Linked DNA regions of Rattus norvegicus. The protein of the gene in region 2 interacts with the protein of the main gene of each other region in a biochemical or structural test. Links are inferred from orthologs where the notes say so. Each region holds a gene or a part of one and is shown on either strand. Other genes may lie near its edges.

Region 1 (2,651 bases), on a different chromosome or scaffold from region 2:
AAGGGCGGTAGAATCTCCTTGAAAATTCTTCTGAAAGTTTTAGAATTTTTCTTAGGTAAAATATTTTTTAAGGTAAGTATTTTCTGTCTCCAAATATCCCTAGGAAATTGTGAAAGCCCATTGATCAGAACCATATCTAATTTATTTTTACTTAGAATTAAGGTGATTGGCATCTGAAGTTAGTGATTCCTTTTTATGTGTTTGAGATATGTTTTAATTATTTATGTACATGAGGGTTTGCCTACATGTATATATGTGCATCACTTATATGTCTAATACTAGCAGAAGCCTGAAATCCCCTGGGACTGGAGTTATAATCAGTTGCAAGCTGTCCTGTGGGTGTTGGAAACTAAACCCAAATCTCCAAGAGTAGCAAGTGGTCTTAAATGCTAGGCTGTCTCTACAGCTCCTAAATATAATGATTTTCAATCTCTCTACTTCAAAGAAGTCACTCTCACACTAGAAATATTGCATTTTCCATTAAAGATATCAACCCTGTACAAAGTACTAGGAGTTTGAACTATTTTAAAGAGAGATATTTAAAGTGGTTAATTTCAGTTTGTAGCCCCTAGGCCTGTGTTATTTGCTACAGATACAAACAACGTTTTTGCCCAAACCAAAAGAACTATTAGTTTTACTCTTGAAAAAATTAAAGGCGGTATCTTTGTACAAATCCTCTTAAGTAATGTTCCTTGCATCCTTCGTATAAGTTTACGGAAACATGCAAGTAACTCTCAGGATGCTCTCTGCTCGGTGGATTTTTAGTAAACACTGGAGGGATTTTTAAAAATACCTTTGGTCAGTTGCGTGGGATTCAAAAAAGCACAACCAGGTACGTGAATCCGAAGGCTGTTCTCCTTTGGAACTCCAAACTGCCAATTTCTGTGGCATTATTTTCGGCAGTAAGTAAAAATTTGGTGACTAACAAACACAATTTGGGATTGTAACCTTGAGTCGCTGCGGCCAGAGGGCGGTGGATTGGACGTTCCACCAATCACAGCCCAGCACCGGCTTATATAAACCCGGAGCCTGAGCAAAGGAGCATTGCAAAATTTGCTCTTCGCGTTAGGTTTCCTTTTCTTGCAGATTTTATTCTCGCCATGTCTGAAACTGCTCCCGCCGAGACTACGGCTCCCGCTCCTGTAGAGAAGTCTCCCGCCAAGAAGAAGACAAAAAAAGCTGGCGCGGCAAAGCGCAAGGCCACTGGCCCCCCGGTATCTGAGCTCATAACTAAGGCTGTTTCTGCCTCTAAAGAGCGCGGCGGCGTGTCCCTGCCTGCTCTGAAGAAGGCATTGGCTGCTGGTGGCTACGATGTGGAGAAGAACAACAGCCGCATCAAGCTTGGGCTCAAGAGTTTGGTGAGCAAAGGTACCCTGGTGCAAACAAAAGGTACTGGCGCCTCTGGTTCCTTCAAGCTTAACAAAAAGGTGGCTTCCGGCGAAGCCAAGCCCAAGGCTAAGAAGACTGGGGCTGCCAAGGCCAAGAAACCTACAGGTGCCACCCCGAAGAAGCCCAAGAAGACTGCCGGGGCCAAGAAGACCGTGAAGAAAACTCCAAAGAAAGCAAAGAAGCCTGCAGCGGCTGGAGTAAAGAAAGTTACCAAGAGCCCTAAGAAGGCCAAGGCTGCTGCCAAGCCTAAAAAGGCGACTAAGAGCCCGGCAAGGCCCAAGGCGGTGAAATCTAAGGCGTCCAAGCCTAAAGTTACCAAGCCCAAGGCAGCTAAGCCTAAGGCTGCCAAGGTAAAGAAGGCTGTTTCCAAGAAGAAGTAAGCTTGCTTGTAACAGCAGCAAAGCCCCAAAGGCTCTTTTCAGAGCCACCCAGAGAACTCTGTGAATGTAGCTGTACACACTTTAAGCTCTCCCGGGTTGTTATCTCCCAATTGGGCCAACCAACTGGAACACCTTCCCGCCCTGATTTGGGCCCTGTGCTCAATCTACAAGGTAAGACGGTTTAGTCTTACCTATGGATAAATTGGTTATGTTGGCTGTTGGTAGTCTCGCGGCCCACTATGGTCACTTGGGACCTGTACGTGGGCCATAACTGCCCAGTGTGGAATAAAAGCGTTGTTAGTAGCCAACATTCACTTAGGATTAAGTGAGACCTCGCGCGAAAAATAACTCATTGGCTGTGTCGTATTACCTAAACCAATGGTACTCTGGTTTATTACTGACTTTAAACTTGATTGGACAGTCATTAGAAGACGTTTACAGATAACGCGGTATTCATCGCCATAGTCTGTTTAAAATGAAGCCAGTGCGGAGACCATCTTCCCTCCCCCTCCTTTAGAGTTTCCTTAACAGAGCTTGAGCTGGTGGAAGTCTCGGTCCGACTGGAAGGGCTCGTAGAAGGCGAGGGACAAGTATGCAGAACAGCAAGAGGTGGAGCCAAAGCTGCAAGGTCCTGAAGCAGGCCCCCCAACACGGGCATCTTTTCCAAAGGCTGTGTACAAATTTCCACTCTCAAGTCATTTACGCTTTTTTTGGAGCCTTTTTGCTCAGTTCTTCCATTGGAAGCACCCAGACACTGAAGTCCCTTAATGAACGGTCCTTTTGTGTTAAAGGTTTGTTAATGTAGTAATGGGTGTGACACTCCCCTACATAGGACTTTCACTGTATTTGTTTAACATTAGATCAGTTTTAAGTGTTAAAGAT
Region 2 (3,651 bases):
TCGTGGTGAAGAAGCTCCTGCTTTTAACTCTTACAAAGCTTGTAGTTGAGAGCACAGATAATCAGAATTCTTAGGTTTTCCAAACTTAAAGCAAGAAAATGTACAGAACATCTATAGCCTCCCGCGCATGGCTACGATGACATCACTGGTTAGTTGGGCATGCACTGAACCAGCTGTGGTACACATAGACAAGAGACTGTCCCCAAAACCCTGAGGTGGGGCTGGGGGATAGTTGGTGGTTAGGCATGTGAAAGGCCCCTTGGTCCATCCTTAGGACTGGGATAGGGAAAAGAAAATTGTATGATGTCACCTTGTGACATCCTGGTCTCCTAGACTCCTGGTCAAAATAGTTCCCTTGTTCCACCTCAGTAATGGTGAACCTCTGTTTCCAGCTTAACTCATAGTCTAGCATGAGGCAAGAACTTTGAGCTTCTCCTCTAGCAGTCTGAATGGATAAGTAAATATTCAGGCTCATGGGGCCCTGGCCTCGGCCTACAGGGTCAGTCCTGGGGCAGTATGAACTGCCCCTGGAGACTTCTAGGTTAGTATGTCAGTATTCTTCCTCTCTGGGTGTCTCCCTGCCCTAATTCCAGATGTCTGTTCTCCAGGTGGTTGACAGAGATTCTGAAGAGGCTGAGGTCATCAGGAAGTATGTGAAGAACACTCACGCGACCACGCACAATGCCTATGACCTGGAAGTGATAGACGTAAGATTCCTCTTCCCCTTTTCCGTCCTGCCAGGTCTCCCTAGCCCCTTCTTTCCTGGCTCAGAAAGCATGAGCCATTTGCTTTGTTTTGCTTTGTTTTTGAGACAGGATCTCTATGTACTCCTGGCTGTTTTGAAGCTCGCTGTTTACAGCAGGCGAGCCTGGAAAGGAGAGCTGCCTTCTCTGCCTCCTGAGTGCTTGGGATTAAAGGCTTGTGCCACAGCTGCCCAGCTGTACTATTAGTAAGCAGAGGTGACATGTTTGTTGTGCAGGAAAGTAAGTGGTGGTGTACAGTTGGCCTTGGCTTTTTCTGGGTATTGAAAGTGCCCCAGATTTGTCAGAAAATATGATTACCAGAAAGAAGTTCATGATAAAGTTCCCCGGGCCAGATGTGGTACACATCTCTAATTCCAGCACTCGGGAGGCTTAACAGACCAATTAGTTCCAGGTTAGCCCGGTCTACATAGTGAGAACAGTCTCGGAGAAAAGGTTCCTTAGGTGTGTCCCCCGATGTCTGTAAATGGAGCCTTGGGACACTTGCATTGGGTCATCCCATCCCCATCTGTGATAATGTGGCAGAGCTAAACCGTCCTAGCTCTTGTGACAGTGGTCAGTACCGGACACTCCCAAGTCCACTTATCCCTTCAGGGAACCTGAGTAACAATATCTGTCTCCCTTTTGCCAACTTTCTGCCCAGATCTTTAAGATAGAGCGAGAGGGAGAGAGCCAACGCTACAAGCCCTTCAGGCAGCTTCACAACCGGAGACTGCTGTGGCACGGGTCCAGGACCACCAACTTCGCAGGCATCCTGTCACAGGGTCTGCGGATAGCCCCACCTGAAGCACCTGTGGTAGGTGGCTGCCGTCTATGGGAAGTACAGAAGTACTTACTTGTTCCTGCAGTGATCTCCCCCTGAGAGTCCAGCCTGCAGCGGGCCCTGTCAGAAGGGAACAGGCTTTGGACCCAGGCATGCCTCTGCCTTTCCTCAGCTGGCAGCATCCATGAGCTCTCAGATTTCCACCATTTAAAAAAAAAAAAAAAAAAATAAGGGGTTGGGGATTTAGCTCAGTGGTAGAGTGCTTGCCTAGCAAGCGCAAGGCCCTGGGTTCTGTCCCCAGCTCCGAAAAAAAAAAAAAAAAGGACGACAAGGGATAGATGATGTCCCCTGCTGGGTTACAGAAGGGACTGAACAGGCCCTCTGAGATGCCATCCCAGCCCCTCACTCACTGTAGAGAGTAAAGAAAAGGAAGGGGCTTGGTGACTATAGCTCTTGTGCTAGGTACTGGTGTGTGGCTGGATGGTGACATCAGTGCTTGCTGGATGTATATATGTGCCTGGCTTAGTGTGAGTAGTGACTATTAACTCACTCACATTAGCCTTATGAGACTTCCTGGTAAAGAGAAAGTGGCATCCTTGGCTGTTGCATGACTTCACACAGCCTGCCTGTAAGCACTGGCCTTTGATGAGAAAGAGCTATCCCTTCCTCTTGGGAGGTGCTGGCTGTGGAGCTTAGCTGAGCAGCAGCTGTGGGGATTCACCACTGGAAGGTTTACCGCTGTCCCTCTTCCAACTCTCCAGACAGGCTACATGTTTGGGAAAGGAATCTACTTTGCTGATATGGTGTCCAAAAGTGCGAACTACTGCCACACGTCTCAGGGAGACCCGATTGGCTTAATACTGTTGGGAGAAGTTGCCCTTGGAAACATGTGAGTGTCCGGACTCTGAGCAGGGTGGGTAGAGTAGACTAGAAGGAGAATCTTTTTGACTTGTAAGTGCAGTAGACAGCAGCTCGGGATCGAGGGAGATTCAGAGAAGCTATGAAACCAAAGGCAGAAATGCGGAGGCCGAGACCTGGCAGCACAGTCCTTCTGCGGAACAGGGAGGCAGGGAAATCATTGTTCAAAGAGAAGATCTGATTCCTCCATCCTCTGGCAACCTCCATCTGGTGAGCTGTGACCAGAAGGAGATGGTGAAGCAAGCCATAGGGTAGACTAGACGGGAACCGCCAAGCAGCTGGCCACAACTCCAGACGCGCCCGCCCTTCTTTGGAAATAACCCCCCAGCAGTGGCAGCAGTTCCAGACTCCCTACTTGAGAAGAGTCAGGAGCTGGGGAGGGAGGTGCCAGGGTAAGGGTGGACAGAATTCTGTGGGCGCTTAGTTTCCATGCCAGTAAAGATGCTGAGGGAGTGTTGGTTGGGAGCCCAGTGACCAGAGGCTCTTCTGAGACTGTCCTCTTTTGAATAGGTACGAACTCAAGCATGCTTCTCACATCAGCAAGTTACCCAAGGGCAAGCACAGTGTCAAAGGTACTGTCCCCAGCCTGACATGGCAGGTTCGGGTGGGGGCGCCTTTCCTCCAGCAGCTGCACTCTCGCTACAGGAGGTTCATTTAGAAACAACTGCCTCAGTCCTTGTGTCATAATGCCATGCGAGTTCTGTGGGGTACCATGAACTAAGCAGGGCACAGGTCACTTCAGATTTTGAGCAGTGATATCAGGGCCCAGAGGACCTCTGGTGCACCTGGAATTATGGGTAGCATATGATGGTCAATGCCTAGGGTATAACCTCAGCTGGACCAATGTAACTTTACTGGTTTAGAATGTTGCCTTGGAACCTTTCTTTACAGTGTCTGTGTTTGCATCTAAAGGATGTTTAAAGTGAACACACACATCCTGTATCAAATAGATGTTGTATACCCAGGACATTTCCACACCTCCTGTTCCACACCCCCTGTTATACCTAACACTTGAGCCTTCCACCTTACAGGTTTGGGCAAAACCGCCCCTGACCCTTCGGCCAGCATCACCCTGGATGGTGTAGAGGTTCCGCTGGGAACAGGGATTCCGTCTGGTGTTAATGACACCTGCCTGCTGTATAACGAGTATCCTTTCATGGCCGGGCTGTGCATGGAGCTGTGCGTGTGCTCTTACTGCCCAGGGCAGCT

What was found. The genes of interacting proteins can lie anywhere in the genome.
Region 1: of the proteins of Parp1 (region 2) and H1f5, one has a biochemical effect on the other in vitro, tested with the Homo sapiens proteins (2 studies listed by BioGRID). The link is inferred for Rattus norvegicus from reciprocal best matches to the Homo sapiens genes PARP1 and H1-5.

Annotation. Positions count from the first base shown.
Region 1 is NC_086035.1:47,420,832-47,423,482, forward strand, and holds H1f5 (histone H1.5), read left to right. Parts: upstream 1-1,043; 5' UTR 1,044-1,100; coding exon 1,101-1,769; 3' UTR 1,770-2,074; downstream 2,075-2,651. UniProt on the Homo sapiens protein: Histone H1 protein binds to linker DNA between nucleosomes forming the macromolecular structure known as the chromatin fiber. Histones H1 are necessary for the condensation of nucleosome chains into higher-order structured fibers.
Region 2 is NC_086031.1:94,866,948-94,870,598, forward strand, and holds part of Parp1 (poly [ADP-ribose] polymerase 1), read left to right. Parts: intron 1-608; coding exon 609-707; intron 708-1,404; coding exon 1,405-1,557; intron 1,558-2,285; coding exon 2,286-2,413; intron 2,414-2,952; coding exon 2,953-3,014; intron 3,015-3,473; coding exon 3,474-3,588; intron 3,589-3,651. UniProt on the Homo sapiens protein: Poly-ADP-ribosyltransferase that mediates poly-ADP-ribosylation of proteins and plays a key role in DNA repair.